Rattus norvegicus: one gene and its partners. The main gene of each other region encodes a partner of the protein of the gene in region 5 in a complex. Links are inferred from orthologs where the notes say so. Each region holds a gene or a part of one and is shown on either strand. Other genes may lie near its edges.

Region 1 (3,191 bases), on a different chromosome or scaffold from region 5:
CCTTTCAGCAGCCCTCCGTCCTGATCCAGCAGTAACTGGAACGCGCCTGGAGCTGTCCTGTGATTCATTGCCCCTTTCCATTCTGCTCTGAGCCATAATGTCAGCGCCATCTGTCTAAAGTCACTACCCAGGAATGCTACCTAACATCCTGATCACGTCTAGATGAGGTCACTCTGCCAACCTGAGGCTTCTAGGTCTGCAAGTGGGAAGGAAGCCTTCCACTGCAGAAAATAAAGGACCATGTGCAATACTAGATGATACCACGCTCTCCTTTCTCCTGAGGTTGACCTCAGCTCCCTATACATGCAGAATACAGGCTGTGTGTGGTTCTGGCTGGTTTCTGATTGATGTTATCACAGAGTACAGCCTCAGACTCCTGAACTTGAGGAACGGCCCCTGGGAGAGCAGAGCTAGAGGCAGAATGGGTGGGCTGAAATTGAGGCATTCAGTAAAAGGGGTGGAGGAAAATTCTTCTGAATTGCTTCACATGAAGAAGCACCATTCTTAGTCTCTTGGGACAACCTCATAATGGCTTTCATCATGTGTGTTCAACGTGCCTCCCCTTGAAGCTGCTGATATGAGGTCAGACAACTAATGTAGGAGGTATGAATGTAGAGATGTCTTCTAGTAACTGCCCCATCCCTGCTTCTTTAACCTGAAATAGGTTCAAGACCCTGGCTCGGCCCTAAAATGCAATTTATATGAATCTACAAACAGCAGGGTCTGGAAGCTGAGATACTGCTTGCTTATGACAGATCTCAGAGTGTTAGAATTATTATTCAGTTGTAGGAAGAGAGATAACGTCCATTTATTAAACAAGTGTTGAAGCAAGCCAGGGGACTAACTACAGGAATGAACAAAAAGTTCTTTTTTTTTTTTAATTAATTTATTTATTTCATGTACATGAGTATCCTGTACTCAGACACACAGAAGAGGGCATCAGATCTCATTACAGATGGTTGTGAGCCACCATGTGGTTGCTGAATTGAACTCAGGACCTCTGGAAGAGCAGTCAGTGCTCTTAACCGCTGAGCCATCTCTTCAGCCCGAACAAAAAGTTCTTACCTAGGGCAAGCTTATATAAAACAATCTGAATGCAAAATTCAAGGAATGACAGTAGATCAGGTCCTATGGAACCACAGGTCCAGCCAATACCTCGCCGTTCTTCCTCCATTCCGCTAGGTGGCAATGCGGAAACCTACCGCTCTCCCGATAGGCTCCGCGCGGGCGCGTATCTTTAAGCGAGCGGAAGAGCCGGTGCGCAAGGCATCCTGGCAGGCGGAAGTAGCTCGTACGCCGGTAGCCGCCATGCCGGGAGACCACCGCCGCATCCGAGGGCCAGAGGAGTCCCAGCCGCCGCAGCTGTACGCGGCCGAAGAAGACGAGACGCCCGCTGCTCGCGACCCGACGCGCCTACGACCGGTGTACGCCCGCGCAGGGCTGCTGAGCCAGGCTAAGGGCTCAGCCTACCTGGAAGCGGGAGGTACCAAGGTGCTGTGCGCCGTGTCCGGTCCGCGGCAGGCCGAGGGCGGTGAGCGCGGCGGCGGTCCCGCCGGAGCGGGCGGTGAAGCTCCGGCTGCTCTCCGGGGTCGCTTGCTCTGCGATTTCCGTCGCGCGCCCTTCTCCGGTCGCCGGCGTCGCGCGCCCCAGGGCAGCAGCGAGGATCGTGAGCTGGGTCTGGCTCTGCAGGAGGCTCTGGAGCCCGCTGTGCGCTTAGGACGCTACCCTCGTGCTCAACTCGAGGTGTCCGCGCTGCTGCTGGAGGACGGCGGCTCTGCGCTGGCCGCGGCCCTCACCGCTGCTGCGCTCGCCCTGGCCGACGCGGGAGTGGAGATGTACGATCTGGTAGTGGGCTGCGGCTTGAGCCTCACACCGGGGCCCTCCCCGACTTGGCTGCTGGACCCCACGCGACTGGAGGAGGAGCATTCTGAGGCCGGCCTCACGGTGGCGCTCATGCCCGTGCTCAATCAGGTGGCCGGGTTATTGGGCAGTGGGGAAGGCGGCCAGACTGAGAGTTGGACCGATGCGGTGCGCCTGGGCCTGGAAGGCTGCCAGCGCCTCTACCCGGTGTTGCAGCAGTGCTTGGTGAGGGCTGCCCGCCGGAGGGGTGCCGCCGCCCCGCCCTGATTGGAAAACTTGAGCGACGAGGATGCGGAGGACTGCTATCGCCCTTTTCTCCCAAAAGGACCAGCGCTGATGGTTGCCCGATTTCGCTGAGCTGAGACAGGAGAGTGGGGGAGTGGTGCGCACAGAACCAAAGCTCTGCACAGCTGCGTTGGAAAGAAGTTTAAAAGGCCGTTGGAAACACGATCCAGTTGGAGAAATTTGAAAGCAGCCATATTCCTAAGTTGGAAAGGACTTGGGCTGGATTTACTTAGTAAATGAGACCTGGGGCTATGGCCTTGTAAGGGATGGACCCTGTGCAGGCCAGCCGGCAGCTCCAATATAATTCTTTTTTTTTTTTTTTTTTTTTTTTCTGAGTTGGGGACCGAACCCAGGGCCTTGCGCTTGCTAGGCAAGCACTCTACCACTGAGCTAAATCCCCAACCCCAATTCTTTTCTTTTGAGAGGATGGACAAGGGGACTTTGCCTTCTCACTACTCGAAGTAAAACATAAAAACATTTTTATGCCTGGAAATAACATGTGTTGTGATTTTTCTTGAGTTAAAAACAATGCTGTTCAGAAATGGGTGTGTGTTGATTGTGTGTTGTCAAGGGTCCAAGTCATTACTGCCTTAAGTATTCCTGTTAGCCCGCTGTAAGAAAGAAAGGGTTATGTGCTTTGGAGGAGAAACCAGCTGCCCCGGGAGCATTGTCTAGGGCAGCTGCCGAGGGGATAAGACTGAGCAGATTTCAGGACAGCCAGAGCTACACAGAGAAACTCCCGTCTGGAAAAGTCTGGGGAGAGTTCAAAGGAGAAGCCTGGATGCACCCCTGTCCTTTCCTTTAGGACAAAACCATGTCTAGGAGTTAGGTAACTGAAAAGGATTATGCTCTGGAAAGAAGCCGGGTCCCATCCTGGTGCCTGTCCAGGCTTGGCTCCTGGGAACAAGGGTCTGGGCAGCAATGGTCTACTAAAATGCAGACCGCCTAATACTGTGGTATCATTTACAGCCTGGCTATTAAGGCAGAGCAGGCCTGACTGACCAGTATAGGGACTTATCCTGTTCTTCACAGGCTGAAGTGGAGGA
Region 2 (4,160 bases), on a different chromosome or scaffold from region 5:
GTCCCCAGCTCCGAAAAAAAGAACAAAAAAAACAAAAAAACAAAAAAAAAAAAACACCACAAACAAACCACCACAAAATTATTTATTCTGGGTGAGAAAATAAGACAACATACTCAGAATCAAGACTCACAAGCCCTCCACAATGAATAGCATTCCTTAATTATCTGCTCCTACAATACACAGGGTTGTTAAAGAGGACTCAGTGGGACTATAATCTGCTCTATCTACCCCACAGGTATGAAGCAAACAATAAAAATATACCTCCAAGCTAGGTGTCACGGTCCCACCTATAATCATTATAAGAGCACTAGGGAGGCTCTGGTAGGAAGATTGCTAGTTTGAGGCCAACCTGAAATACATATCAAGATTTTCAAAAAGCAACAGCAACCAGGTGATATCGCACATGCCTCAGATCCCAGCACTCTGGGCAGAGATAGGCAGATCTGTGATCTCAAGGCCAGCATGGTTTACAGAAGGAGTTCCAGGACAACAAAGGCTACAAAAAGAAACCCTGTCTCCAAAAACAAGCAAACCAAACAACAGCAAAAAAGGGCCCATCACCAACAAACACAACAAAATCTCAGGACTATGTATTTCATATTCTGAGTGAAAACACTCCCAAATGTATACTAAGTGACCGAATCTTTAAAAATAATCAGAACTCCAAAACCTACTATACAGGTGCATATAGACAACCGCAGGCGCTTTGTGCTTGCATCCAGGCTATAGAGAAAACTTACTGGCCAAGGTAAGGGAGGGAAACTTATGGATTTAACCAAGCAAATGAAAAAGAAAAAAGAAAAACTAAACTAATACTGAGCCACAAAGATAATAATCACGTGTATGTGGAACAAAAAATTGTGCTTGGCTAAACTGACCACTGTAAAAACCACACGGACGAAAGACGAAAAAAAGAGAAGGACCAGATTCCAGCACTCACAGTGGCTGCCCCCTTCTAACCTCCGCAGCACTGAGCACACACGTGACGAAAAGACATACAAGCAGGTATGCTTGTTCAATACATTCGTACAATAAAAATAGATATACAGTTTTTTAAAGGGCCAAAAAAAAATAGTCTCCGCTGGGACCAGCGCCTCCGACAAACCGAGGACGTCCGGAAAGAGAAGTTTGTCTTCAAGGCGTACCTACTTCAACAACCGAGGAGAAGCTGCAAAAACCAGCTCGGCTCGGGCCTTTGATTTCCCGGAACCGAACGACGTGACTCGTACATTCAGCAGGCCGGGGAAGCTACGAGCCTTGCACCGGAAAGGGACTAGTTTACCGGAAGTTATAGCTCTCCGAGACTGAAAAGGAAACGGACCGGCGGAAGTCGTAGTCGCGGAAGCCCAGGTCATCTAAGGGGTCGTGCTCTCGGAGGCGGAGCGAGGACTGCGCAACATGGCCGGGCTGGAGCTCCTGTCCGATCAGGGTTACCGGATAGACGGTCGCCGCGCGGGGGAGCTGCGCAAGATTCAGGCGCGGATGGGCGTGTTTGCGCAGGCCGATGGCTCGGCTTATATCGAGCAGGGCAACACCAAGGCACTGGCGGTGGTCTACGGGCCTCACGAGGCGAGTAAGCGGCAGGGATTGGGGGCTCGTGGCCGCACGACGAGGAAGTAGACCTTACAGCTTAACTCCTCTACCTATGCAGCAGTATACTAAAATCCCATCTTTGAATTTCTGGGGTCCTCCCTGGCAGAAAGCATCTCAACACACGTTGTCCCACCGTGTTGTAGGGGAAATGATGTGCGTGCATCTGCGAGGACCTGGCTTCTTCTGATTTCACCTCACGAGCTCTTTCCCTTGGTTAACTTCCATTTCAATCCTTCCTTTGTGTTACATCCACTAAGCCATGAATATAATTATACCCCGAGTTCTGAGTCCTCTCGGGGAATTGCATCCCTAACATGGCCCTCAAATTTGTATAAGTATTAGGTCCCATGATGAACTGAGAATATTGGTTTCTTTAAGAACCCAGTTATGTTATGTGATTATGTTTTTGTTTTAATCCCACGGGTGGGATATGGGGCTGCTTCAGATTGTCCACAACTACTATGATTGTCTCATGCAGGGACTGGGGGCTCATGGCTGCACATCGTGGGAGTGGACATGAGTCTTACTGCTTAACTCCTCCGTCTCAGTGGGCCTCTTTTCTCCTGGGCTGCCCTCTTCATCTCTGAGGTGCCTCATACATCCTGGCAAAGCTACACTCAGTCCCTGTTCTTTCAGTCCAGTGTTTTGACATCTTGTCCGGAAAAGGCCTCCCAGGCTATTTCTGCCCCTGCTACATCGATTTTCCTCAGTCTTCCATGTCTCTTGTCTCTCTACTGGAATGTAAACTCCCAAGACAGAGACATTATAAATTGCCTGCCTTTGCTGCTTTGTCTCAGTGGTGTAGCAAGGCCGGCAAACATGCACATTTTAAGGGTTTTTTTGTTTGTTTGTTATTTGTTTATTATATATAAGTACACTGTCACTGTCTTTTAGACACACCAGAATGGCATCAGATCCCATTACAGATGGTTGTGAGCCACCATGTGGTCGCTGGGATTTGAACTCAGGACCTCTGGAAGAGCAGTCAGTGCTCTTAACCAATGAGCCCACATTTTAAGGTTTGCTAGCAATTTGCTCAGCTTTCTAGGTGGAAGCCAGGTCAGGTCTAGAACACATTAGGCCAGACTACTGGTAGACCGAGGGACAGTAGATCAAATAAAGTTGAGTGGTTAACCAAGGAGATGAGGACCCAGGGCTTTGAAGGTCGGGGAAATTGAGATTTTCTTTTACATGTAATGAGAAGCTTCTGGAAGGTAAGTAAAATATTAGTGTGTGGGTGACACAGTCAAATCACATGTTTGTAAACATGGTGACCACGATGGGAATGATTTAGGAAGAAATGGAGCAACTAAAGAACAAAGGGGTTTTTTTTGCGGAAGGTGACAGTGGTGCGGCTTAGACCGAAGTGTAGCCCTAAACCGCCTGCCATGGTTTGGAACCAAAGTAGCTGCTGCTTTCTGAAGCACTTTAGAAAGAAGAGGAGGAAGGCTGAGCCATCGAGTGTGACCCAGGAGGTAGGCGGCCCTGGCTCATTCCTTCTTTTTTCCTCCAGATCCGGGGCTCCCGGTCACGGGCTCTGCCTGACCGGGCTCTAGTGAACTGTCAGTACAGTTCAGCAACCTTCAGCACAGGTGAGCGCAAGCGAAGGCCTCATGGAGACCGGAAGTCTTGTGAGATGGGGCTGCAGCTACGCCAGACCTTCGAGGCAGCTATCCTCACACAGCTGCACCCACGTTCTCAGATAGACATTTATGTGCAGGTGAGCCTCAAACCACTCCCCCGGGGGCGGGGCTTAAGGGGATGAGGTCTGCCTGAGATGCTGGAGGATGAGATGTCTGATGTCCTGATGCCCCCTGCAGGTGCTACAAGCAGACGGTGGGACCTATGCAGCATGTGTGAATGCAGCCACGCTAGCAGTGATGGATGCTGGGATACCCATGCGGGACTTTGTGTGTGCATGTTCGGCTGGTTTTGTGGATGGCACAGCACTAGCGGACCTCAGTCACGTGGAGGAAGCAGCTGGCGGGCCCCAGCTAGCCCTGGCCCTGCTGCCAGCCTCTGGCCAGATTGCACTGCTTGAGATGGATTCGAGGTTGCATGAAGACCACTTGGAGCAGGTGCTCGAGGCTGCTGCCCAGGCAGCCCGGGATGTGCACACTCTGCTGGATCGTGTTGTCCGGCAGCATGTGCAGGAGGCCTCTATCTTACTGGGGGACTGAGGCCAACCCCCCATATCCAGAATAAAGGCCTGTTCCTCTCCTGAACACACTGTAATGTACAGCACTTCAAAGCAGCTCAGGGCCCTACATAGCAGTTTGTACTGCAGTCCCTAAGTGGAGAGAACACTTGTGCTAGGAAGAGCAAGAGTGCTCATGCTGTGCCTGCCCAGATATCAGGGTCCACAAAGACCACCAGGGGTCTGGATTTGTATGCAAAAGCAAAGCCTTTATTCACACTTAAGCTTGGACCCTCAGAATCCTCCAAGCATCAGATTTGTGCTGAGACCTTGAACCTCATTTAGGCAAGGTTTTTATACTAGTTTGAGCAGGGAACGGGGGTCTCCAGCATAGCGATTGCCTTACTTAGCAAGGGTTGAGCAGGGAGGG
Region 3 (4,084 bases), on a different chromosome or scaffold from region 5:
TATCCAGATAAACAAAAAGCGCGGGGCTAGGAGCCAAATTCTGGACGTGGCAAGTGTGAGGCAAGCATTCTGCACTGTGGTACATCGCCAGATCGCAACAGCATTTGGAAGTGTTATCCTGCCCTTATCAACAATAGATCAAAAGAGATTCCGAGTTTTCTCGAGTGTTTTCAAGAAAAGTGGGCAGCCAAGCACCGTAGCGCACATCTGTAATATCAGGACTTGGGAGACTGGGACAGGACTATCTCCAGTTCGGATACCTATCTAAGCATCTGGGTGAGCTAAAGGCCATCCCAGATGAGTGGGTGAGATCCTGTCTCAAAAAAAAAAATAACGTGGGCAAAGGGTCCTGTTTGAACTTCTCGCTCTGTCTCCCTTCATGATCATCTTCTGTAAATGACAGTCATGGAAAAGTCCCTCGCCTTGAATTTTGGTCAGGGGACATAGGAAACAAACGAGTTTCTTGCTCGACTCCCTTTACAATTGGAATTTAAGTAATGTAGAACCCTATGAAAACCTGATCTGTCCTTTCAACCCCCGTCTCATCCCTTACTCGTCTCCTTCCATCGAAGCCCGCAAGTAGCTGCCTTGCTTTTGCTCTAAAGGGAGCCTTCCCTTGAATTTCTCTTCAAAAAGTTTCCCGGTCCTTTTCTTTCTGAATCTGCTCTTCCTTCACAGCCCGCGGTGCCCCACGCACACTGTAACAATAACAGTTACGTCTCTATTTCTCCCCAAGAAAGACACTGTGGGGGCCAGGTACTCACGAATCTAGCCAAGCCCCGAGCCCCAGGTCGCCCCAACAGCAAGAGGGCAGCCTGGCGCAGGCCACGGCTCGGCCTCCAGATCTTGGCCGCGGACATCGCTACCGCCATCTTGGCTAGTAACCACTCCTCCTTTCTCAGGAGATAGACATGCGTCTGTCCCATCAGATGCCTTATTCAAATCTCAGCACCACTAGGCCAACGCACTATTTTCTTCCAACCGCCTAGCAACAAAGACGTAGAAATAAGTAAGTTGACCATTTTTATTCTTTAAAATTGCTCCAGTCGTCTGCTTGGAGTTGTTCCAATATCAGGCAATAAAAAGGACAACCTCACTTGAACCTCCAGGGTTCAGGGCCCGGGGCCTTGGGCAAAATGGGCCTAGTCCAAGTCCTGCCCCTTATTCCCTATTCTCCAATGGCTTTGCCAGAATTGGGAGGTGGAGGTGGGCAGGACCAGATTGTTAGTAAACGCCGAGCCACGTGCTAGGGCCACTTCGGGAGTGCCCTAGATTGGCGCTTGCGCGGTAGGTACACGGCCGGTAGAACTGCGCGTGCGGCTGAGCGGAAGCTACGGTAGGAGCCCCAGCGCGCGTGGTCAGCGGCTATGGAGGGAGCAAAGCGTGCAGACGCCAAGGTACTCACTGACACCGGAACAGAGTCCAGCCCTCGAAGTCCAGTCTGCAGCCTCCGGCACTTTGCTTGTGAGCAAAACCTGCTGTCCCGGCCGGATGGATCTGCTTCTTTTCTGCAAGGTACGACTTTAACAAGGTTTAACTCAGCGCGCGCCATCCTCACCGAAGAAGGGTTTTTGAAGAGCGGTTACTGTGTAGTGTGCAACCAAGTACGCCCACCTCCTTGGAGAATTTATTTCTAGATATTGCGTATACCCACCTCCCGACTCGAGAAGAAATGATTTGGCCAGGCTGGTCAATACCTCTTGGAAGAAATCCAGGGCAAGACCCCTCTCCTAAGAGTGAATATTCCAGAATAGGTGTTTCACCAAGGCAAATATTATCCTTGACTAGATTTCTTAAAAAACACTTCTGGATCCATACATCATCGGTTGAGGCTAAGGTGTTTATTTGCATAAATACCCTTTGAGACAGACACATCACCACTACTGGTTTAAATATAATTACTGTGGCAGGTGATATACCTAAGTAAATGCTCTGAAAATTGAACGTGATCCTCCCATCCTGGGCTAACAAGTAGCTCCCCTTCTCTGGTCCCATCATTTGAGAAAACATGCCTTTCCTTGGTATACACGTCTCATCAGGGTAAATGAATAGAAAGAAAAGAGAGATCTCGAGGCTGAGGCCCACATAACCCTGTATCCCAGTCCAGCCAACCAACTTTGAGAGGTCATGGGAGGGTAAAAAACTACCAGAGTAGACAAATGAAGAGGACAAAGATGGAGTTGACAATGGGGAGTTGTGTTTGAGATATTAAGAGCTGATCACTTTATGGCTAGTAAGTTAGTGTGGGGTAGTGGTGGGTCAGAGAGAGCAAGAAAGGACAGTTAAGACAACTGTTCAGGCATTTTCCTGGGAAGGGATCTGGTAGATGGGACAAGAGTTGAAGACTGACAGGAGCTTAAGAAAAGAAATAACACCTTTAGTCACAACACTTGGGAAACAGAGGCAGGGTCTCTATGAGTTCGAGGCCAGCCTGGTTTGTGGAGAGGAGTTCCAGGAAACCCTGTCTTGGGGAGAAAAAAAAAGGGAGACAACCGGGAACTGGAGAGATGGTTTGGTGGTTAAGAACACTTGTGGCTCTTGAAGAGGACAAAGTTCAGTTCCCAACATCTATTCAGGAGGCTGTCAAGCACTTGTAACTCAGGAGCTAGGGGATTAGAAGCCTCTGCATGCAGGGACACACACACACACACACACACACACACACACACACACACACACACAGAGAAAGAGAGGGGGGGCTTGCACAAGCATGCATGCACATAATTAAAAATAAAATAAATCCTAGGGACTGAAAAGGGGAGAATTTCTGTAGCCCCGTTGTAGAGATGGTGGGAAAGAAGAGACTATTTTGCTTGCCGAGAGCACAGTTTATACAGCAGAACAGGAACAGCTACTGTGTAGCTCTAGTAAGCACCTGAGTCTAGTTGGGTCACTTCTGGTTTCAGGGCAGATGTTGGCGCTAAGACCCTGTCCCATTGGGTTTCCTTGGAAAAGCACCCGCAGATGTAATAGTGTTCTCATCCCAGGCTGGCTCCTGGTTTTGCTCACTTGCTAAACTCAGCGTCTCCTGTCTCTCGAGATATAAGAAATAGAATGGGAACCCTTCCATGTTCTAAAACTCTAAACCACGGGGCCCTGGTGCAAATTGGAGACCTTGCAGACTTTCAAAAAGAATGTTGCAGATGGGGCTGGAGAGATGGCTCAGTGGTTAAGAGCACTGACTGCTCTTCCAGAGGTCCTGAGTTCAATTCCCAGCAACCACATGGTGGCTCACAACCATCTGTAATGGGATTTGATGTCCTCTTCTGGTGTGTCTGAAGACAGCGACAGTGTACTTATATATAATAAATAAATAAATCTTTTTAAAAAAATGTTGCAGACACATCTGACCTCAAAGGCTCCTGCAAGAACACCCTATGGGAGGGGGCGTGGCATCAGTGAGCAGTGCAAATGATGGGTATATGTGATAAATGACACACTAACCCTATTACTTCATAGCTGACCTCATTAGGCTCCTCTTGCTCTAATAAGGACCATGACCAGAAGCAACCTGTGGAGGAAAAGGTTTGTTTGGCCTACATACCCCAAGTCCATTGAAGCAGGAACTGAACCATGGAGGAGCCCTTGCCTTTCATGGCTTGCTCAGCCTGTTTTCATTTATAACCCAGGACCACCTGCCCAACAGCAGCGCCGCCCACAGCGAGTGGGACCCTTCCATATCAGTTGTTAATCAGTGAAATGCCTTGGGTCCGGGAGTGTGTGAATTCCCCTGCAGACTTGCCTACAGACCCTTCTGATGGAGGCAGTCCCTCAGTTGCCTCAGTTGAGTTTCCTCTTTCCAGGTATGGCTAACTCGTGCTGAGTTTACCAAATGCAAAGCAAAGGAAGTAACTAGCCAGCACAGTGTCTTACCTTACAAGCAAAATTGATAAAAAGAAAAAAACCCAACAAAAACAAAACCGATGGTACTGAACCCCTAATCCTAGCAGCAGGGAGATAAATAAAGGCAGGAGGAGCAGCTCGTGCCAGGGTCACTCAGCTGCACAGCATGGGCGAGGCCAGCCTTGACCACACAGAACCTGACTGCAGAAAGTCCAATGGAGGGCTGGAGAGATGGCCCAGT
Region 4 (4,131 bases), on a different chromosome or scaffold from region 5:
ATTCTGGTTTCCCTAGTACTATCTGTAAGCATGAACCCTCCTACCCTCTCCAAACCCCACGCAGCCTTTCTTTGAAGCTGCCAAGCTTGTATCAAGTTAGGAGGTTGGGGAAGAAGTTAGCCATCTTGAAAACTCAATACTTATTACCTAGCCATGGCCCCTCTCCTGTCTGCCTGTATGTCAGTTGTCCTTACTATATCCAGGGATTAAATGGTTTGCCAGCAACTTGCCAGATTTGGAGGAAGTTTGATGCCCCTTCCCTAAAAATTTAGAAACTTAGTTGACAGCAGAGCAATCTGACGTCAGTCAATGTCAAGGCCCTCAGTGCTGCTGGAGAACAATCAAACACTCATTGAAGATGCCTACAGAAAAAAGCTGGTTTCACAGATAAGAACCCCAAAGCCAGAAAACTGGAAGTTCTTAAATTCTTGCATTGTGGGTTTGGGATTTAACAGTTTCTCACATAGCCGTTAGTGTGCTCCCAAAGAACTAACTAGCTGCAAGAATTGATCTGAGTTACCGATATTCCCAAGCCATGTAGGGATGAACTTATACTGGTGAAAAAGTGTGATGTGTGTTGGAGAAGGTGGGAGAAATACACCTAAAAATTGTTACAAGTAGTAGGTACCTTGAGCTACAAATGATCTGAAGTATAGCTAACAGCACAGCAAGGGCGACAGATAGGCACTGTAACTATTGTTCTTTGTATTTTACACAATGTAAATTGGTAGCAACAACCAAACAAGTTATATTTTGAAAAAAAATTTTTTTTTCTGGTTAAAAGCTGAGCTATCGGGCTGGAGAGATGGCTCAGCAGTTAAGAGCACTGACTCCTCTGGTCCTGAGTTCAATTCCCAGCAACCACATGGTGGCTCATAACCATCTGTAACAGGATCAGGCGATGCCCTCTTCTAATGTGTGTGTACTCACATAAAATAAATCTTAACAAACAAACAAACAAACAAACAAACAAACAAACATACAAACAGCTGAGCCACCTTTCTGTAGGCAGAGTAGAAAGGTAAGGCCTCCAAACTAGCCACTATTCAGTTCCCAGTGGCACTCAATTCCAGCGTCCCTTGATTGTTAAGTCGAAAGATGAGACTCGGAAGTGAGGGCTCACAGATGGACTCTACCCGGGGAGATTACAAGATGGGTGGGTCGCTAACTACACACACAGTCACTCGGAGGAGGAGTACCCATGAGCTGAAGCGACTAGCTCCAAAGCTAAAGTCTAATTCAGAAAAATCTCACAACCACCGAAAAGGGATAACCCAGGTGGACGGGTAGTGGATGCGGAAGCGGAAGCGGAAGCGGAAGTAGACTACCGGAAGTTGCAATGGTGATGCCTGCCATGGCTGAAGTGTCCGCTGGGGCTGAGTCTGTGGCGGGCTGCCGAGCACGGGCAGTGCACAAGGTGCTAAATCAGGTGGTTCTCCCTGGGGAGGAGCTGGTGCTGCCGGACCACGAGGACGCAGACGGCCTTGGGGGCCCCGGGGAGCAGCCGTTACGCCTGAATGCGGGAGCGCGCCCGAGGCTGCGCATAGTATGCGGCCCGGGTTTGCGACGCTGCGGGGACCGTCTGCTGGTCACTAAGTGTGGCCGCCTGCGTCACAAGGAGCCCAGCGGCGGCGGCGGCGGCGGCGGCGGCGGCGGCGGCGGCGGCGGCGTTTATTGGGTGGACTCGCAGCAGAAGCGGGTAAGCGGATGTCTGAGAGGCGGTGCTGCCCCCAAAGTGGGATCCCTGCAAGTGCGATCATAGGTTAAGGCGAGTCTAGAGCGGCGGTGGCTTCTAGATCTCTCTCTCTCTCTCTCTCTCTCTGCATCTTCTTTAGAGGAACCACAATAGGAACATATCCTGAGAAGGGCGAAAGGAGAGAAAGGTTCCGCGAGTTCTTGTGAAAAACCCAAAGCCATTTGGTGTCCCAGTTGCAATGAGTCCAAATCACAGGGAGTTAAATTTCCCATAGAATAAGAGCTTTCTCTTAGGAATAATGACTAATGGAATGAGTTTCCTTGAATGTAAAGATTCTTGTGCCACCAGACTTATAAAGGATGCCGAAAAATCTTGAAACTTGATTCAAATCAACTGTTGATTTAGACGGTGTAAAGTTTTACTGGTGCGGGCCGGTTTTGTAGTTCCAGCTACCCGGGGAGTAAGTAGTTGGCAGGGTTGGTTGAGACCAACCCTTGGTAACCTCGATGAAAGTTGCCGAAGATATTTTATAGTAGTATTTGTATCATTTATGATTGTTCTTTTATTCTGTTTTGTAGTATGTACCAGTGAAAGGAGACCACGTGATTGGCATAGTAGTCGCTAAGTCTGGCGATATATTCAAAGTTGATGTTGGAGGGAGTGAGCCAGCTTCTTTGTCCTACCTGGCATTTGAAGGGGCAACTAAAAGAAACAGACCAAATGTACAGGTAATGATGGTTTCAACAATAAGAAAAAATGTCCACTCCCTAGAAATTTAACTATCCAGAGGGCTACCTGAATTGTCTTTAAAGCATCAACTATCCCTCCAGTTCTCCAAGGTCGTTTATTAGATTCTCGGTTGCTGCAGCTCCAGAACCATTGCTGTGTATCACGTTAGCAGTCTTGGTTCTTCTCTACCTGGTTGGCAAGTTACATCTGTGTCTTCCTTACCTGTCATGTCCGAATCCACCCAGGACAATGGCCCTAATGTAAGGGCCACCGGCACTATTGTTATCTGTTCATGGTCGCTGTAAATCCTTGGAGCTGACAGAAGAGTTGTCTTGTTTCGACAGGTTGGGCTTTCTGGGTAGTTTAGCCATATCCTTCTGAATACCTGAGCTACAAATGAGATGAGCTCTCTCCTGCTTTTTGTCAGCTCTCGAGGGTCTTTAGTCGCTCAGTCTTATCTGTTCTTCTCTTTATCTTTGCCTGTCAATCCCTTTGTCTCCACAGGGTCAGGTGTCTGCTCCCTTTTGACAGGAGTGGGCAGCAGTCTTGTTGACTTATTAAAAAAATCTTATTAAGAAAAGGATTGTTTAAGTTATAAGGAATCCACTGGCATGGTGCACCTGGGGTCTCCCCTCACAGCTTGTTGCTCCACGTAACTATATTAAGCTTCACAGTGTCACTGGGTTCCCTTCCTTCCCTTGGTCTTTGTTAATGGGGTCCCTCTGTTTGGAGCTGTATCCTCAGCCTATGAGACACCACCCTTGAGGTCCAGGCTGAGTGGGACTGCCTATAAGGTCATCATCTCTTTTCCTGTATATTTACCACAGCCCTGGGTTTATTCTTGATCTGGTTCCTCAGTTTATTCATTCTCACTGCCCTGTGCAAGAGCACATGCTCCAGGAAGGCAGAAAGGGGTTATGTCCCGCCAGGTTTTGTAATCACCCACAACAGTGGGGACTTAAAAAATACTTTTAGAGTATGCATAGGGAAGTGTTTTGTCCACATGTATGTTTCTGCCCAGTGTGTGACAGCTTCTTGTGGAGGTCAGACAGGAAGGTCAGGTCCCCGAAACCTGAGTTATAAACAGTTTCGAGCTGCTATGAGGATGCTAGAAACCAAAGCTGGGTCCTCGGCAAGAGCAGTAAGCACTCCTAACCCATGAGCCATCGCTCCAGCTCAACAGGGAGGATTTTTAATGTTGAATGACGAGAACAGATTTATTGTTTCCTTAGCTTCATTTTAAAGTTCAGTTTTGTAATATTTTAAAGCCAATTTTCCATGAAGTAGTGTCTGAATTACTGCTATCCCATTTTCACATTCCATTGAATATGGGTGTCATGAGTTTTTCCTTCCTCTAGACAAACATAATTGTTAGTACTGATAGAACATTCTCCAGTGATGCTGTTTTTGTTTTTATATCTGCTCTGACTGATGCAGTTACCACTAGTTACATGTGGCTGCTGATGAGCTGAAGAACTGAATTTTATGTAAGTTAAGTAGATATAAAGTTAAATATGAAATTAAGGTAAGCTACATGCAAGTTGAACAGTTCAGTTTTGAAGGCTGTCCTTAGGCCTTGAAATGGCTTCTGGTTGGAGGATTTCATGGGGTGTGAAGGGAGGACTGAATTCTAAGGATCATTAGTCCCTTAGCTTGAGAACTGGGTCACTGGCATTCCTGCCCATGGAAGAGAACCAGCAGCAGCA
Region 5 (3,500 bases):
GGAATCCAACTGAAGTCCAGTTAGTTCTTAATCACCGGGACATCTCTCCAGCCCCTTGTTTATTTGTTTGTTTGTTTGTTTGTTTGTTTAAGAAAGGAAGGAAGGAAAAGTGGGTTGGAGAGATGTCTCAGTGATTAAGGGTACCTGTCACTGTTGTTGTATAAATATAAAAATAAAAAAGTAACGGTTGTCTTTTTCCACACTTGGTCCGCACCTCGGTGCCCCAGACATCTGCTAGGTATCTTGGCGGAAACACATCCCAGTTGCACACTTTCCTACACTCAAACCCTCACATAAAAGAACACACAACACAATAATCTTTGGCCCAATTGGTAAGATATAATTGCCCACTTGAACACACAAAGCCCGGTACCATCCATCCCTTAGGAACATTGATAACCTGTAAATACACAGAGCAGAATCTTAACATCACCTGTCATGGCTTCTCCCCTCTCTCCTCCTGTCTCCTGTCTCCTGTCTCTTCTTCTCTGTCCCAGTCTCCTCCTCTTCCTTCAAACTTCTCTCCCGCCCATTCTTCCTTCTCCTCCAATGATAGGCCTCCTTCTATCCTGTACCTGCCCCTCACCTGTACCTTACAAATTCTATGGGGAAAAGGTTCTGGTGAAGTCACCTGATTCCTGAGTATGTGACTAGGCAGCTGTCCTTGGGGCAGTGGAATTAGCATCAAAATACAGATAACTCCAGGGCAAACCACAACTTGTCACTCTTGCAGAGCTGTTTCCAATACTGGCTTGGTGGCTCACAACCATCCATTACTCCAGTTCCAGGAGATCTGACGCCGGTTTCTGAACCCCTCTAGCATCAAATGCATATACGGTGCACAAACATGCATAAAATAAAATGAATAAATCTAATTTTAAAAAATGCTTTCAGGGGTTATTTATGAAGAATGAGGAAGATCTTAGCGAGATGGCTTGGGGTGTTTTATTGTATGCATTGTGTATCAGCTTGCTAAGTGTTTGAGGAAAGAAAAGTGTAAAACTGAATGTGTAAGGGGCTAGAAAGATGACAAGGTACTTCCTCCTCTTTCAGTGAACTCAGGTTAAGTTCCCAGCACCCACAGCTGCTCACAACCATATGTAGCTCCACTTCCAGTAATCCAATGCTGCCTCTGACATCCATGGGTACCCAGGCGTACATGAGATACACATACTTACAGGCAGGCAAAACACTCATACATAAAGTAAATGTAAAATGATATGCCACCCTTCATGTAAGTACAGAGGACTATTACCCCCTCTCCCTAAAACTAGATCATTATCACAAGAAATCTAAGTTGTTTAAATAGAGGCATCCAAATGCCAGGTTTAGACAAATGTGTGCTTCTTATAATAATGCTTAATTTAAAAGGAGAGTGTAAAAAAAAAATCTGCTCGTTTGAACAGAGAAAATACAAGAGAAACTGGATTTCAATAAGAGACCCATTGTTGGCCAAGGGTAGATGAGAAAGAAGTGGGGGTAAGGGGTTGGGGGTGTGGAAAGAACATAGTTAGGTAAAGGGAAAGGTTGTTACTCAGAGCTGTTTGACTGGTAGAACCACAGTGATATTCCATTAAACCTGGAAAAGTAAATAAGTAAGAAATTAAAAGTAACCAGGATTTGGTGAAACTGGAATATAAAGAGTTGCAAGTGAGTCTAGGTTACAAATGAATACTGTGGAAGGGTGAGAAGAAAACTGAGAACATTGTATCCAATTGTACTCTACTGCAAAGTTTATTTCTCTGGGGAGAATGGTTAGCCCCGAAACAATGTATATACTGAGGAAAAAGATATATGGAATTATGGGATAGATAACGACAGCCAGGTTTCTCCCTACCTCCGCCTCTAGAGATTTGGTACTGAGATTCAGAGAAAAAAAGTTACAAATAAAAAAAAAAAAAAGGCCGGAATGAACCATGAACATGAAGTGGGAAGTGAGCTATTAGTATGAACTCCTGGCTTCTTGATAGATGGGGAACTAAATGAGGACCTGATGTTAGTTTATATTCTTTCTAGTTCTGTTGCTGAGATGGTCTAGAATTCTACAGCAAATTTAGCACCCATATCCTGGTTTTTGAATACTATATTGCCAGTAAGAGGAACCAGGGCTCCTTGGGGAAGGGCAGGGAAAACTAACCAATGGCCTGGGTGAAACAAATATCAGATTATAGCACAACATAAAATAGATATCTATGAGTTGTGCTGTTATAAGAAAACAGTGGGACAGAAGAGACAGGCAGCCTGTAGCTATCCTGGAAACTATCTCATACAACACTGTCCTGTAAAGGGCCAGGTGGGAGCATGTGTATTTCCCTTCAGCAAATGTGGGAAAAGCATTCATAGTACTTACAGGAACAGGCATGGCTGTGTTACCGCCTAATTACAGAAACAAGTAGCTCACGTGCATTAGTTTGTGGACTATTTTAGAAGGTTAAATATTTTAGATTGTATGTAACAGGTCTGGTAGATCGAAATTGGGGTAAACAGGACTCGGGTTAAGACAGTTGTGTCTGTAGCTCTAGCAGAGCATAGCCGTGTGTGTGTGTGTGTGTGTGTGTGTGTGTGTGTGTGTGTGTGTGTGTGTGTCTGTCTGTCTGTCTGTCTGTCTGTGCCTCCATTTTGCTTGCTTTAGTGTGTGTATTCTGTACATCCAAACATGCCGGGCCTTTGTAGTCAGGCACATCTGACATGAAACCATAGATTTCTCATCATTAGGATAAGTCACTTCTGAGTCTCTTCCTTATATTAGGCTTGTAGTATTGTTAGTAGTGTGAGAACAAAATTTGGTGAACCACTGAGAGAAAAGAAGGTTATGTATTTCTGGAAGGGAGTCTGTGAATTTGGGATCACAACCTGAACCTTGTTTCTTTAGGAAGACCTTCGGGTGGATGGCCGTGGCTGTGAGGACTACCGATGTGTTGAAGTAGAGACTGATGTGGTGTCTAACACCAGTGGGTCTGCCAGAGTCAAGCTGGTGAGTTCTGTTGTCACTGTTCATACCCAGGTGGAGAAATGGGTCAGTTACAGGCCCTGCTGTCTTGGGGGAGGGAGTGCACATTGGTCCTGAGGAGACCAAAGTCCCTAAGCCATAATGGGAGAATATATCTCTCCAGACCCAAAGCACTCCTCATCTTAGAATACCATATTCTAAGCTGAAACAACAGAACTGTCTTGAAGAGGAATGTGTTGTTCCTGAGCAAGGACTCTTGGATGTGTCTGCAGGGTCATACAGACATCTTGGTGGGAGTGAAAGCAGAGATGGGGACACCGAAGCTGGAGAGACCAAGCGAAGGCTACCTGGAGTTCTTTGTTGACTGGTCAGTACTGTGCAGGTGGTTTGAAAGGAAAAGGAATCCTTGGGATGTCACTTGGGGGTAGAGTGTTTGCATAGCATGTAGGAGGCAGTGGATTCAGTCCCTGCTTCCCACCCACACATACATCCCCTAAGAAAGATTCAGAAAGCGAACCCTGTCATGTTCGTTTAGTCACTCATTTTTCTT
Region 6 (3,992 bases), on a different chromosome or scaffold from region 5:
GCAACAACTGCAACAGGAGAATAAAAGTTACATTTGTATCTCACTACGGATTTGCTCGTCACCTGTGGCTGGCTTTTACAACAGTCGTCTTTCAGAAGAGGTCTTTACTAAAGCACACTAAAGCCATAGGAGCACTAGGTGAGGATCCAGACCAGCACCTAAGGGTCAACTCCACTGTAGAATACAAGGCCCCCTAGGAACAGTATTCACTATCTTCTGCTCAGATAGTGGTTTAGAGTTGGATGGCAAACTCAAGGTTCACTTCTCAATCTCTAGACTTGACCAACAATAAATAAAATGATGAAATTGGATAGTTTGGGTAAAAACTCATACAACTGAGCATGGCGGTTTACGCCTGTAATCCCAGCTCTTGGGAGATAGAGGAAGAGGAGTTCAAGGGCATCCTGGGTTACACAGCCAGTTTGAGACCAACCTGGATGACATGAGACACTATCTTTAAAAAATTTTACACGGGGCTGGGGATTTAGCTCAGTGGTAGAGCGCTTGCCTAGCAAGCACAAGGCCCTGGGTTCGGTCCCCAGCTCCGAAAAAAAAGAAAAAAGAAAAAAAAAACTTAAAAAAAAAAAAATTTTACACCTGGGCTGGGTTCAGAGGTGGAGAGCACTGGCTGCATTTCCAGAGGACTTGGTTTCGATTCCCAGCACCCACATGGCGGATCACAAACATCTGTAATTCCAGTTCCAGGTGCTCCAACAACCTCTTTTGGCCTCTGTGGGCATCAGACACTGGAGTGTACGGAGACAAACGCAGGAAAAACGCTTATACACATAAAACAACAAACCAATCAGATGCGAAAAGCACCATTCGCACCACCACCAAAACCACAACCTACTCAAACTCATGTAATCGGAGCGTTTGGGAGGTGGAGGCATGAATCTCTGGAGTTCAGCAGGGTTATTCTCAACTGTACAGTTTGTGTCCAGCCATACACGGGACCTTTTCTCAAATACAAACGCCAAACCAAACCAATTCCCTTACAAGTCATATTCCCTTACAACGTCTTTCCGCGGGTGCTTTCTTGCCAATAGTAAACATGGCAGCTTGGTACCCTCTTTTCTTCGAGTTAACTTAATAGTTGCCAATAGTCAACATGGCCGCCACACTATACATTCCATTGGTCGCTTCTCTGAAGGTGGGCGGGAATTGAGGCGACTGTGTGGAGCTGCGCCTGCGCAAGTCATTGGCGCCAAGATGGCGTTGGAGATGAGGCTCCCTAGGGCTCGCAAACCTCTCAGTGAGAGCTTGGGCCGCGATTCTAAAAAACATTTGGTAGTGCCAGGGGACACGATCACCACGGATACAGGCTTCATGCGGTACGTGAGGATTTGGGGGTCCCAAGGCCTCAGGAGACGGCTGCAGAGCTCTCTGCACGTGGCCCGCTGCCCGGGAACCCAGGCCTCCTGTCCCCTTGTATCTAAGTCACCGAATACCTGGGACACCTCAGAGCATCCTCCTTTCCGAGCCTCATGCTTCTGACTTCCTGCATCTTGGGTGCTCCTCTGTCAGTTCCTGATTTCTCCTTTAATCTATGGTGTCAGGAACTTTTGAACCCTTATCCTGAAACTCAAGATTTTTGAGCTTTCCTGGGGAGGGCTGGGAGCAGGACCCTTCTTACAACCCTCTGAAGAGACAGTGGGTTGCTGGCTTGGTCGTTTCTTTCAGTGTTACCTCAGCGACGAGCCTGACTTTGAAGCAGTGATTTTCGTGGGGTGGGGGTTGAGGTAAGCATTCAGTACATACTGTGCATAGATGCACCCAATAATACAAACTTAGCAGGCTATCGGAACTTGTGGTACTTTGGGCCTGCTCTGGAGTCGTGCTCTCCTTAGCTGTAGCACCTAGCTAAGGCCGGTACCCTCACCTGGAAGACGGTGGTGACAACAGGAATTGGTAGAATCGGGAGTATTAAGCAACTGAAAAGTGGGGGCAGGAAGCAAAATTTCAGCAGTGGCCTGAAAAAACCTGGTTGTTTTTTCTTTCTGGTACAAATGAGATTATGGTGTTTATAGCATTGCCTCTAGACTTTATGTTTAAAGTATTAGATGACAGGTATCTTAGGATTCATTTCTTCATACTTGCAGCATAAGTTCAACATAGTCCCTGTGGTTGGGGTACCAAAGGCGGGGTTTATCATCTAGCAAGGAACAATAACAGTAAATGCCACAAGAACGTCGTAAATGCAGACGAAGGGGGAGAAGAGGGGTGTAGTTGGCAATGGGGTGGACCAGTGGGGATCCCTGTGTTGCCTGGGATGTGCAGTTCTGTTGTTGGAAAGTGACATTCGAGCACACTTTTTTTTTTTTTTTTCTTTGTTCTTTTTTTTCGGAGCTGGGGACCGAACCCAGGGCCTTGCGCTTCCTAGGTAAGCGCTCTACCACTGAGCTAAATCCCCAGCCCCTCGAGCACACTTTTTAAGATGGGGATGTCCACATGGCTCTGTGGAGGCAGGGGGAGCCTGTTAGGTTCAAGAACCATGTTCTAGATGCTCCCATGTTACCTCCAGTGTAACACTGCTATCCTTTCTTTGTGGTCTTGTCCTTGCACAGGGGCCATGGAACATACATGGGGGAGGAAAAGCTCATTGCGTCAGTGGCCGGCTCTGTGGAGAGAGTGAACAAGCTGATCTGTGTCAAAGCCTTGAAAACCAGGTGAGGACAGAGGTGTGTATGTCATTCTCGGAGCATCTGGGTTGTACACAGGCCTTCTCCGTCGTCTCCCCATGTCATCTAGGATCATTCCTGTCACACGCCTGCTAGGTTGAATGTGCCTGTTTGTCACAGTTAGTGCCGGCAGCCAACTTGACACAAAGCTGGAGTTACCTTGGGAGCGGAAACCTAAAGCTAAGAATTGTCTCCATCAGATTAGCTTGTGGGCATGTCTGTGGGAGCATTTTCTTCATTGGTAATTGATATAGGCAGTGTCACCCCTGGACCAGTGGGCCTGGGGTGTGGAAGGATGGGCACTGTGCTGCAGGCCTTTTATCCTAGTACTTGTGAGGCAGAGGCAGGCAGCTCTCTGTGAGTTCCAGGGCAGCTCTGTGTGTGTGTGTGGGGGGGGGGGGAGAACAAAAACCTGAGTCTGGGAAGCAAACCAGCCAGTAGTGTTCCTCCACAGACTCTGCCTCAGTTCTGGCCTCCAGGTTCCTGCCTGGCACTCCTCCGTGATGGAGTGTAATCTGTAGGCCTAATAAACCCTTTCCTTCTCGAGTTGCTTTTGGTTGTGGTATTTATCACAGCAACAGAAAGCAAACTAGGACACTACAGAAGGTGTGAGCTTCAAAGGTTTCCTCACGTCACTTGATCCCTCCATGCGTTGGGCTTTCCTTTTCCACATCATAAAGAAAGTAACCAACTCAGGATTGTTCATTCGGAATTCAGTGACCTGCTACAGTAAAGTACTTACACACAGGGCCCAGGACCTAGAAGAAGCCCATAAAGGTGCGTCCAGAAGGGAAGCAATGAGCCTGGGACTGATTAGTCAGGCAAGCCGGAGCTGTGGCAGCCAAGTGGTCACCCTGCCTGGCAATGACAGTGAGGACTTGGGCTTCGTACTGTACCAATTGGGAAGCCCTTGGAAGGGATCAAGCAGAAGAGAGCAAGAGAGCTGTGATCTGACCTACGTCTTCATCACTTGCTGTGGTTGCCATGGAGACAGTGAAGGGGGACAGGGCATGTTTAGGGAGCTGGGCTGGGGAACTGTATTCATCTGAGAAATGACCGAGTGATGGCAGGCATGGCCCTCAGCAGTGGCTATGTCCTCTGTATGCCTTGCTTTCAGAGTGTCCTTTGAAAGGCTGTTGCAGTAACTGATGTGTTTAAGGAAAGCTAACAGAAGGAATAGAGATATTTTTAGTTCCCCGTTTCCAGTCTGGATGTCTTTGTTTCCCTCACACATTTGGAGGTGCCTTCAGCAGGGTCTGTGCTGTGCTTATCCCAGAGTGTGACAGGCATCAAGGTTTCTGCCTAAGCATG

Evidence for each region.
Region 1: Exosc7 (region 5) and Exosc6 share a complex: the UniProt entries of both Homo sapiens proteins name them as parts of the RNA exosome core complex. The link is inferred for Rattus norvegicus from reciprocal best matches to the Homo sapiens genes EXOSC7 and EXOSC6.
Region 2: Exosc7 (region 5) and Exosc4 share a complex: the UniProt entries of both Homo sapiens proteins name them as parts of the RNA exosome core complex. The link is inferred for Rattus norvegicus from reciprocal best matches to the Homo sapiens genes EXOSC7 and EXOSC4.
Region 3: Exosc7 (region 5) and Exosc5 share a complex: the UniProt entries of both Homo sapiens proteins name them as parts of the RNA exosome core complex. The link is inferred for Rattus norvegicus from reciprocal best matches to the Homo sapiens genes EXOSC7 and EXOSC5.
Region 4: Exosc7 (region 5) and Exosc3 share a complex: the UniProt entries of both Homo sapiens proteins name them as parts of the RNA exosome core complex. The link is inferred for Rattus norvegicus from reciprocal best matches to the Homo sapiens genes EXOSC7 and EXOSC3.
Region 6: Exosc7 (region 5) and Exosc2 share a complex: the UniProt entries of both Homo sapiens proteins name them as parts of the RNA exosome core complex. The link is inferred for Rattus norvegicus from reciprocal best matches to the Homo sapiens genes EXOSC7 and EXOSC2.

What each region holds. Positions count from the first base shown.
Region 1 is NC_086037.1:55,930,247-55,933,437, forward strand, and holds Exosc6 (exosome complex component MTR3), read left to right. Parts: upstream 1-1,276; 5' UTR 1,277-1,308; coding exon 1,309-2,127; 3' UTR 2,128-2,691; downstream 2,692-3,191. UniProt on the Homo sapiens protein: Non-catalytic component of the RNA exosome complex which has 3'->5' exoribonuclease activity and participates in a multitude of cellular RNA processing and degradation events.
Region 2 is NC_086025.1:109,927,131-109,931,290, forward strand, and holds Exosc4 (exosome complex component RRP41), read left to right. Parts: upstream 1-1,360; 5' UTR 1,361-1,398; coding exon 1,399-1,569; intron 1,570-3,106; coding exon 3,107-3,313; intron 3,314-3,413; coding exon 3,414-3,773; 3' UTR 3,774-4,103; downstream 4,104-4,160. UniProt on the Homo sapiens protein: Non-catalytic component of the RNA exosome complex which has 3'->5' exoribonuclease activity and participates in a multitude of cellular RNA processing and degradation events.
Region 3 is NC_086019.1:90,294,625-90,298,708, forward strand, and holds the start of Exosc5 (exosome complex component RRP46), read left to right. Parts: upstream 1-1,284; 5' UTR 1,285-1,367; coding exon 1,368-1,515; intron 1,516-4,084. Other genes in the region: Bckdha (2-oxoisovalerate dehydrogenase subunit alpha, mitochondrial), read right to left, coding at 765-872. UniProt on the Homo sapiens protein: Non-catalytic component of the RNA exosome complex which has 3'->5' exoribonuclease activity and participates in a multitude of cellular RNA processing and degradation events.
Region 4 is NC_086023.1:64,371,912-64,376,042, reverse strand, and holds the start of Exosc3 (exosome complex component RRP40), read left to right. Parts: upstream 1-1,331; 5' UTR 1,332-1,354; coding exon 1,355-1,699; intron 1,700-2,274; coding exon 2,275-2,424; intron 2,425-4,131. UniProt on the Homo sapiens protein: Non-catalytic component of the RNA exosome complex which has 3'->5' exoribonuclease activity and participates in a multitude of cellular RNA processing and degradation events.
Region 5 is NC_086026.1:131,654,063-131,657,562, forward strand, and holds part of Exosc7 (exosome complex component RRP42), read left to right. Parts: intron 1-2,872; coding exon 2,873-2,974; intron 2,975-3,222; coding exon 3,223-3,317; intron 3,318-3,500. UniProt on the Homo sapiens protein: Non-catalytic component of the RNA exosome complex which has 3'->5' exoribonuclease activity and participates in a multitude of cellular RNA processing and degradation events.
Region 6 is NC_086021.1:35,359,474-35,363,465, forward strand, and holds the start of Exosc2 (exosome complex component RRP4), read left to right. Parts: upstream 1-1,192; 5' UTR 1,193-1,212; coding exon 1,213-1,334; intron 1,335-2,567; coding exon 2,568-2,669; exon of another isoform or gene 2,670-2,681; intron 2,682-3,992. UniProt on the Homo sapiens protein: Non-catalytic component of the RNA exosome complex which has 3'->5' exoribonuclease activity and participates in a multitude of cellular RNA processing and degradation events.